Linked DNA regions of Neurospora crassa OR74A. The protein of the gene in region 1 interacts with the protein of each later gene in a pairwise test. Links are inferred from orthologs where the notes say so. Each region holds a gene or a part of one and is shown in the gene's direction. Other genes may lie near its edges.

Region 1 (5,384 bases):
CCTCCTATTTAGAATATAATTAACTATACTAACTCCTAATATATTTAATTCGCTTAAGGATTTTAAAGTATACTAAATATAAACCGGGGCAACCTACTAAATAGACGGAAAGAACTCTAATTTAATACTAAATCAATAATAACTATACTTTTTCTATATAATAGAATACAAATAAACTTCTTCTCCTAATAATTATAAGCAATACTAACGTAATAGAAATATAAATTATAAGCTACTTAATTAATAATAAATAAGTAAAAGTAATAATAATAAAGGAAGTTTAAGAGGAAATAGAAATTTTAAAGGAAATTTAGGAAGAAATAGAAATTTAGGAGGAAATTTCCTATAATAAAAGTAAATAGAAGTTCTAAATCGCTTCCACTACCCACTACCTAACACCTATTCCATTCCGTCTACCCTACTATTACTAAAGCCCTTAGCGCTACTACCCTCCAACTATATAAATATTTAAAATAATTACGTAATATAATAATTAACTATAAAATATCCCTACTTAACTCCGAATAGAGACCTAAATAGAAGCTAGAGTCGTTAGTAGTTTTTTTATTATAATACTAAGGGGTATTATAAATAGAACCGACGAATACTATTTTAACTTTCTTTATTTAAAAGTAAAATTAATAGTAGCGTACTCCGTATATACAATCTAATTAATATATAAATTTCCACTTCCGTAGGGGACCTTAATATATATACTATAAGAAATATAGGTAGCGACCCCCAACTCCCACTATATATCTACAATATACTAACGTTATTATAAATAATTACTATTATAATATATAGATTTAAATTATTACACACCTTATCGTAGGGTTTCTATAAATTAAAGCGTAATATATTAGTAATACTAGTACTAATAACTACCAATAATCTAAGATCCTAATACAAATTCGGGGTACTATATAAAGGGGCTTAAAAAAAAGCAGGTGTAAAATAAATACCCGGGCTACGTATTTCTTTATACTACTAAACGCTAGCTACTAGGAATAGAAAATAGGAATAAATATTTAATATTTTTACAATAATAGTAAATAAGGGAATTGCCCTAAACTACTTTAAGGGTAAGGCACAAAGTATACTACCTAAAAATACCTATAGCAACGGAATTAAGATAGTAAATAAATACTAACAGCAACCCCAAAGTAGTAAATTATAAATAAATATTAAATAAATATTACAATAATTTCAAATAATATAATAATACTCATATAATATTTAATTATACCATTCAACTTCCAATCGTATATCAATTAATAATTATTATATTACATATACAATAGTAAAAGTTTAATAAAATAAATTAATATATATATAGTAGGATATTTATAAAAGAAAAAAGAATAAATTTAAAATATAAATTGAACCTTCAAAAATAATTCTTATACGAGTTTATTTTGTATTGTAAATAGATAGTTTAACTAATTATTACTTCGGAGATAAAATAAAATATTAAAGATGAAGTACCTTCGATAATTGAACATTCTATTATATAGAAGTTTCTATTATATACGCGAACCACTTTTTAACGAAAATTCCTATTGTACGCACTACTTTTTATTCTATATAAAATACTATTACTATTTAAGTATACCGTTCTAGCGGGTCAGCTATCCAAACGCAAATAGACCAACTACCGAAACGCATTAATTACAATCCACAATTGTTCAACCAAACATACAATTATCGAAAAGGGGCTTATACAAGCGGATTCGTTCTATAACGCTTTTGCACTGTCAACACCACTGCCTGCACCCTGTTCTGGCCCTGTTGTCAGACCCCCTATTCCCAGCAGGGGGTCAGGTCCTCGCTTCAGGCTGGCTGACGTTGCTGGCTCCAGGCTGAAGTACTTTGGCTCCACTCTGGCGCCGGAAGACACGCCGCCAAGCCTGGAAACTGCCCCGCAGAACCCGTCCAGGCCGTGATACGATGCGGCGGCGGGACCGGGCCACTTTCAGACAGGGGCCGGGCCAGCCACAGCGGACAGTGGCCGTCTGGGCAGGCAGTGGCTGGTGGAAATGGACGCGGCAAAAGTTCTTATCTTATCACTTGCCGGACTGGCAACGCCAAAAAAAAGTTCAGGGACGGCAACCCACTGCGCAGCGGCGACACGATTGTGCTAGTGGACATTGAATCGCGAGAGACCTTGCGCATGTTATTTTGGATTGGCATCTTGTACTAGTGGCTGTCCAATTATCGCAAATATGGTCAAATCATACCTGTAAGCCTTGCGATTCTGTCCTACTTTTCTCTCGCCTGATGGCATCTCTAATACACCTGGGAACAACAGCAAATTCGAGCCCTCCAAGTCCTTCGGTGTCGTCGCAACCAGCTCCTCGAATCTCGTCTGGACCTCCTCCAAAGACAAATCTGGCACCGGTGCGGGCCAGGCTATCGTCGCCGCCAACAATGAGGTTCTAACTTGGGATATCAAGAAGGGCGAGCTTCTCAACCGCTGGAAGGACGAGAACTGCAAGGCCCAGGTCACTGCCATCGCCCAGAGCAAGACCGATCCCGACGTATTCGCTGTCGGCTACGAAGACGGCAGCATCAGGCTGTGGGATAGCAAGATCTCCACCACCATTGTCAGCTTCAATGGACACAAGTCGGCAATCACGATACTGGCCTTCGACAAGTCGGGAGTGCGCCTGGCCAGTGGCGCAAAGGATACCGATGTGATCGTTTGGGATTTGGTCGCCGAAGTCGGCCAGTACAAGCTACGAGGACACAAGGATCAGATCACAGGACTGCGATTCATCGAGCCCGAGCCGCAAATACCCGAAGGCGGCGACGACGAAGAGCAGGCTATGGTGCTGGACAACGAAGCGACAGAAGGTTTCCTCTTGACGACCGGCAAGGATGCGCTCATCAAGCTTTGGGATCTTTCATCACGGCATTGTATCGAGACCCATGTGGCACAGAACAGCGGCGAGTGCTGGGCGCTTGGTGTTTCTCCCGACCTTAGTGGATGCGTCACAGCTGGCAACGACGGCGAGATGAGGGTATGGGCTTTGGATGTAGCAGGACTCGCTTCGTCAGCACGCAAGGTCGATCTCTCGCAAGCAATCAACTTCCTCCACGATCGCGGCACACTACACCGTTCGAGCAAAGAAAGGGCCGTCGAGGTCATCTTCCACCCCCGTCGCGACTATTTTGCAGTACATGGCGTCGAGAAGTCTGTCGAGATTTGGAGGATACGAAACGAAGCCGAAATCAAGAAGAGCTTGGCGAGGAAGCGGAGAAGAAGAAGAGAGCTGGCTGCGAAGAAGGGCAAGAAGGAAGCAGACGCGGAAGAGGAAGACGACAAGGCCGATGATATTTCAAAAGCAGACATCTCCGACGTCTTCGTGCAGCATGTTATCGTGCGGACAACAGGCAAGGTTCGGTCGGTCGCTTGGGCCCTCAGTCAAGGAACCAAGGATCTCCAGCTCCTTGTTGGAGGCACAAACAACCTGCTCGAGACATATACCATTGTTGGAAAGGATAAGCTCAAGTCCAAGGGTGATGCGCCAGACTACAACAAGGCGCTTGCGGTGGAGCTTCCCGGACACCGAACAGACATTCGTGCCCTCTCCATCAGCTCAGACGACAAGATGTTGGCTTCGGCAGCAAACGGCTCCCTCAAGATCTGGAACATCAAGACCAACACATGCATCCGGACATTCGAGTGTGGCTACGCGCTCTGCTGTTCCTTCTTGCCTGGCGACAAGGTGGTCGTGGTCGGAACCAAGGAGGGCGAGCTTCAGCTTTACGATGTTGCTTCGGCATCTCTGTTAGAGAGCGTCAACGCTCACGAGGGCCATGCCATCTGGTCACTACAGGTTCACCCAGACGGCAAGTCCGTTGTTTCTGGCGGTGCTGACAAGACAGCCAAGTTCTGGGACTTCAAGATCGTTCAGGAACAGGTTCTAGGCACGTCAAGGACAACCCCCAAGCTCAAGCTTGTCCAGTCCAAGATTCTCAAGGTATCAGACGATATCCTGAGTCTCAGGTTCTCCCCCGACGCGAAGTTGCTTGCTGTTGCCCTTCTCGACAGCACTGTCAAGGTCTTCTTCGTCGACTCTTTAAAGCTTTACCTCAACCTTTACGGTCACAAGCTGCCCGTTCTCAGCATGGACATCTCCTACGACAACAAGCTCATTGTCACAAGTTCCGCCGACAAGAACATCAGAATCTGGGGTCTCGATTTCGGTGACTGCCACAAGGCTCTCTTCGGTCACCAGGACTCCATCCTCCAAGTTGCTTTTGTTCCTCACAACTCGGACGGCAACGGCCACCATTTCTTCAGTGCCAGCAAGGACCGCACCATCAAGTACTGGGATGCCGACAAGTTCGAGCAGATTCAGAGGATCGACGGCCACCACGGCGAGATCTGGGCCATTGCCGTTGCTCACAGCGGCCAATTCCTCATCAGCGCTAGTCATGACAAGAGTATCCGCGTATGGGAGGAGACGGACGAGCAGATCTTCCTCGAAGAAGAGCGCGAGAAAGAGATTGAGGAGCTGTACGAGAGTACGCTCACCACCTCGCTCGAGCAAGACCCCGACGCCGAGGACGAGAACCGCGAAGTCGGCGCTGCGTCCAAGCAGACGGTTGAGACGCTCATGGCGGGTGAGCGCATTGCCGAGGCGCTCGAACTCGGCATGGCCGACCTCAACGCTATCAAGGAGTGGGAGGAGGCCAAGCAGCAGAACCCCAACGTGGCGCCGCCGCAGCGCAACGTGCTTTTCATGGCGCTCGGCAACATCAGCGCCGAGCAGCATGTCATGAACGTGCTGCAGAAGATCAAGGCGTCGGCGCTGCATGATGCTCTGCTCGTTTTGCCATTCGCCACCGTCCCCATGCTCTTCACCTTCCTCAACATCTTTGCCATGCGCTCCATGAACATCCCGCTTACTTGTAGAATTCTGTTCTTCATGCTCAAGACCCACCACAAGCAGATCGTGGCGAGCAAGACGATGCGCGCCATGTTGGATGGCATTCGCACCAACTTGCGTGGTGCACTCAAGCGCCAGAAGGATGAGATGGGGTACAATGTTGCGGCGCTCAAGGTCGTAGGCATGCAGTTGCAGCATAAGAGCGTGAAGGATTATGTTGATGAGAAGTGGGAAGAGGAGAACGAGGAGAACAAGGCAGTTAAAAAGCGTGCTTTCGTGCAGGTTTCTTGAGCGTCGGATGGTTGGGGTTGGCGAAGGAAACAAACGCCAGCATGATACATGGGAGTGACCTACAGGTGGAGGAAGGGTAGTGTAGGTGGAAAGAGTAGAAGGGATCTGGAAGAGAACAAATCCGTTCCGCACATAACACAACATACATATGATGTCTGACGTAGAGGAGAAAGGGGTGAACGGTGTTGATACCGT
Region 2 (5,107 bases), on another chromosome or scaffold:
GTTGGTTGGAAGGGTGTCCGAGGGGGCGTGGACCATTTCCCAGCCTGCTTCGATTGCGTTTGCGCTTGGGGCTTGTTGTTGCTGCTGTTGTGTTGGTGTCGGTGTTCGTGGCTGAGTTTCTTGTCGCTGTTGCTGCTCTTCTGGTGTGGGTGTGGGAGGGATGTATGTTCCACTGGGCGGTTGTAAATAGGGGACTACCTCCTTAAGAGTCCTCCTCCTGCTGAAGTTGATGGGTTTGGGCAAGCGTCGTTGGATTTTCCGCCTAAGTGACCAGACGAGCCGGGCGTATGTCTTTGAAAAGAACCAGTAGCCGGCAAAAGGGGCGATACCGGCGACAAAGGCGCCGAGCCAGCTGATGATGCTTCCAGGGGTAAAGGAGGATGGGAGTTTTGGTAGGAAGATTGGGGAGTCATTGCAGCCTGGAATGAAGAAACCAAGGGTGGGAACCCATCTCGAGGTGTTCACAAGGCCGGTTCGTTGCATGAAGACGAAGATCTCTAGGTGTAAGTTGACCCAGGAGAACACGTACTTGACCCATGGGTATTCTGGCATGTCGAATCCAGCAAAACTATCGCTCAGGACATACGATGGCAGCCCGGCCCAGAGGTACTCTCCCCATGACTGCTGGCGCCTGTGAAAGTGAAATAGACGAGAAAAGGGAACATGGGCGTAGTCCTTGTACAGCAAGATACGCTGCCTCAAGCCGTTGACTCCCCAGACTCCGACGGTGGCCAAGACCTCGCCGGTGAGGAACAGCTTCCTCCCAATTCCATCTTCGTAGTACTGGTGCTTGGTGGCGGCTTCGTATAGAGCTTGGGCCTCGTTGATGCCACTGTCCGGTTCGGCAACGCCGATGACCAGCATAACCTCGTTGTGAGAGCGGATGATGTCTCTGTTGATGCGCCGTGTCTCTGGATTCACTGGTCGTCCTCGGTCATCATACAACTGCTCTGGGGCCCCGGGTTGGGGCTCGCCAGTGCCCTCAACTACCTCATCGTAGGGAGACCGGCCCTGTCCTTAGTGTCAGAACGAAGTTGTAGCCCGAAAGTCTTGCAACGATGACTTACAAGGGCCTGTGATGTCAGTGGGCCCAACCGCATCGTGAAAGGGTCAACTGGATTCAGGAGGTGTTTGTAGATTACTATCCGGCATTGCCAAGATGTTTATGTGTACATTACACGGTGAAATTTGACCAGTCAGTGGCCATCCTCGTGTAACAAACTAGGTCCTGTGCCAGAGATTGTGTTATGGTGAAGATAGTGGTGGTATAGCTGATGAGTGATGGAGACTGGAACAGACAGTTGACGTTGGTGGGGGCGATTGGGGAGCACAGAAAGCCGAGGGAGGGTCATGCTCCAGTTGCTCCAGTGCTCCAGCGTGGTTCGTCACGGATTCCTACAGGGGTTGGATCTGCATGGCGCTAAGATAACCTTATTGCCTGGCCTTATCAGCGGGCGGCAGGCAGCGACCCGCGAAAAGTTTTTGGGATTGGGGACTTTGCAGTGTACCACCCTACACTTGACGTTCTAACAGCAGAACCCCAAAGGCGGCGGCGCGCAATCGCAACCCTCCTTGCCTCTCTGTTTGATTTAATCCACTTGTACAGCCAGACACTCCGTCACCACAATGGCGTACAGGCAAACCACCACCAAGACGACCTTCGAGGTCAACAATGTCATCCAGCCCATTTTCACAGGAGGTTCCGTAGCCCTCGACAATGGCGCTAGGATCCTCGCGACCACCCTCGGCGAGCAGGCCGTCCTCACAGAGCTCAACACCGGCAAGCAGCTCGCCGAGATCGAGGGCGACGGAGAGCCCATCTCGACCCTCACCATCACCCCTTCGGCCTCCCACCTGATTGTCTGCTCTCGTTCTCTTACTATGCGCATATACTCCCTCAAGGTCTCACCAGATTACGATTCCATCGAAGCCACCCTTGTACGCACCACGAAGCCCCACGCCACCCCCGTCGTGGTTCTCGCGGTCGACCGAACTAGCACCCTTCTTGCCACCGGTGCTGCCGACGGCGCCATCAAGATCTGGGACATTGTCGGAGGATACGTTACCCATACCGTTAGCGGCCCGAGTGTCCTTATTTCTGCCCTCCACTTCTTCGAGATTGCCGCTCTCGAGGACCAAGCCAGCAACAAGAACAAGAAGAACAGGCGAAAGAGCACAGCCGAGGAGGAGCAAGCTCAGGATGACAGCGTCGCTTCAAAGTTCCGTCTTGCCTACGGCACACAGGACGGCAAGATCCGCATCTTTGACCTCAGCAAACGCAAGACCTACCCCGTTTACGCCGACCCGACTTCGAGGAGAGAAGCGCACGAGTCCAACGTACAAAGCCTTGACTACTCACCAGAACTACATGCCCTTCTCAGCGGTAGCAGAGATAAGACAATGACAGTATGGCTGTGGAAGGAGGGGACATGGAGGGGAACACCCATGTTGCGCCATGAAGGCGTTGAAGCTGTCGGCTTCCTCAACAACGGAAGCTTGATGTATTCGGCTGGAACAAGTGGCCTACTTAGGCTATGGGACACAACCACACACCAAGAAATCACAGCAAAGCAAGACGCCAAGTCGGAAGCCGAGTCGATAGTGTCAGCCCTTGCTCTTCCCCACAAGAACCTTGTTGTTTGCGCCCAGTCTGACTTCACCCTCGCCCTCTACCGCACACCTTCGGTCGCCGATGCCACCAAGAAGTCGACGAAGCCTCTGGAACCCTTCAGGCGCATCTCGGGAACACACGACGAAATTCTCGACCTTGTTTACCTTTTGCCCGATCAGTCTCTCATGGCTCTTGCAACCAACTCCGAAGATATCAGACTTGTATCCGTGGCGGATAAGCAGCCCCAGCTGGGCGACGAGGAGGAGGGCGCGGCATACTTTGGCCATGACGTAGCTCTACTCAAGGGACACGAGGATATTGTCATGTCTCTCGATGTAGACTGGTCTGGCCACTGGGTTGCTAGTGGTGCCAAGGATAACACAGCTCGCCTCTGGAGGGTTGACCCAGCCAATAACTCGTTCGAGTGCTATGCAGTCTTCACTGGCCACATCGAGTCTGTCGGCGCTGTCGCACTCCCCAAGATCGTACCTCCCGAGAACTCGGAGGCGTTCAAGAACCCCCTCGACCACCCGCCCGCATTCCTCATTTCCGGTTCCCAGGATCGGTTCGTTCAGAAGCGTGACATTCCCCGAACATCACAAAAGGGAGCCGTCTCAACCAGTCTCCGTCGCTTAGCCCACGAGAAGGATATCAACGCTCTCGACATCAGCCCCAACGGAAAGCTTTTTGCCTCGGCATCACAAGACAAGACGGTCAAGATCTGGGATTCCGCAACATTAGAAGTCGTAGGTATCCTCAAGGGTCACCGCAGGGGTGTCTGGACGGTTCGGTTCGCGCCTCAGGGCATGCCTGCCATTCAAGGCGAGACCGGCACTGCTGTTTCCGGTAAGGGTGTAATCTTGACGGGTTCTGGTGACAAGACCATCAAGCTCTGGAACCTCTCGGACTACACCTGTCTGCGCACATTCGAGGGCCACTCCCATAACGTCCTCAAGGTTGTTTGGCTGCGCCTTCCCAAGGCCGCTGACGACGCTGAAGACGAGGCTGCTGCTGCCGCCTCCAAGGCCAAGCAGCGCATCCAGTTCGCCTCTGCGGGCGCCGACTCCCTCGTCAAGGTCTGGGACGCCAACCTTGGTGAGACCGAGTGCACGCTCGATAACCACGAAGACCGTCTCTGGACGCTCACGGTGCACCCCAAGACCAATATGCTTGTGTCTGGTGGTTCCGACTCCCGCGTAACCTTCTGGAAGGACACTTCGGCTGAGACCCATGCCGCCGCGTCCTCGGCCGCCCTCAAGCTCGTCGAGCAGGAGCAGCAGCTCGAGAACTACATCCACGCCGGCGCCTACCGTGACGCTATCATTCTGGCGCTGCAGCTCAACCACCCCGGTCGTCTCCTGGGTATCTTCACTAACGTGGTCACTACCAACGCCCCCGAAGAGGGCTCTCTCTGCGGTATCAAGGCCGTCGATCAGGTGCTTGGTAACCTCTCCGACGAGCAGATTTTCCTGCTCCTGCTGAGGCTGCGCGACTGGAACACCAATGCGCGCACGGCGCCCGTGGCGCAGCGCATCCTCTGGGCGCTCGTCCGACTCTACCCTGCCAACAAGTTCTCCAACCTGTCGGTCAAGGGCGCAAGGGGACAGAAGAGTCTGAAGGAGGTGCTCAACGCGTTGAGGGTGTATACTGAGAGGCACTATAAGCGCATAGAAGAGCTGGTGGATGAAAGTTACCTTGTTGAGTATACTTTGCAGGAAATGGACAGTCTGGCACCGCCGGCGATTGAGGAGAGGGATGGGGATCTGGTTATGGCTGATGCATAGATTTTTGCCTTGAAATTTTGGAAGCATAACGAACGGCTGGGAAAAGTAGCAGTGGATTTTTTGTGAAATGGGATGAAATAATGTGATACCAAGTTTGAAACACATACACGTATAGACCGAATGCTAGTGTCCCGTTTGCCGATTGTGTGATTGTTGATGAAGTTTTCTTTCTTGTGAGAAGCCCATTCCTAAATCTATTTCATGCCTCGCCCTGGGTATCAATAATGCGTGTGTAGCGTCAGCCATGTACCATAATGGCCGATTCCTTTGGTAACGTTTCTCGTTGCGTCGTCGACCCCATAGTTTAACTCACCATGCCTCGAGCACGTTCAAGGCTTCAAGGCTTGTCTATCATGGTGGCTCTCCGCTATTTCTGTTTCCCACTCCTCGTCTTCTCTTTAACTTTGGCTGCCTTGAGGTGATCCACACAATCCTTGATCACAGACTGAAGGTCACTGTTCCGCCTAGCAAGTAGAAGCACGTCATCTGTGGTAACGGTGGTACGCCCAGCATGTTGGCTGAAGGTTTCCAAATCGATGGCGACGTTTTCTGATGTCCACAAGTTAGTAACCGCCAAACAACTTGCGCTGAGAAAAGACGTACCAATCTGAGTCCACACAAGCTCGGTGAGAGCTCCGATGAACTGAGGAGTGGCATTCATGTTGCGACGGAGCGACTCATCGTCGACCATCTTGCCAATAGCGAACCACAG

What was found.
Region 2: the proteins of NCU03051 (region 1) and pod-5 interact in binary tests that used the Saccharomyces cerevisiae proteins (3 or more experiments, as listed by UniProt). The link is inferred for Neurospora crassa OR74A from reciprocal best matches to the Saccharomyces cerevisiae genes DIP2 and UTP13.

The regions. Positions count from the first base shown.
Region 1 is NC_026501.1:8,275,627-8,281,010, reverse strand, and holds the start of NCU03051 (WD domain-containing protein), read left to right. Parts: upstream 1-2,111; 5' UTR 2,112-2,225; coding exon 2,226-2,242; intron 2,243-2,311; coding exon 2,312-5,189; 3' UTR 5,190-5,384. UniProt on the Saccharomyces cerevisiae protein: Involved in nucleolar processing of pre-18S ribosomal RNA.
Region 2 is NC_026505.1:1,894,539-1,899,645, forward strand, and holds pod-5 (polarity defective-5), read left to right. Parts: upstream 1-1,533; 5' UTR 1,534-1,626; coding exon 1,627-4,395; 3' UTR 4,396-4,544; downstream 4,545-5,107. Other genes in the region: NCU03627 (hypothetical protein), read right to left, coding at 1-1,011, 1,068-1,100; NCU03629 (hypothetical protein), read right to left, coding at 4,763-4,944, 4,999-5,107. UniProt on the Saccharomyces cerevisiae protein: Involved in nucleolar processing of pre-18S ribosomal RNA.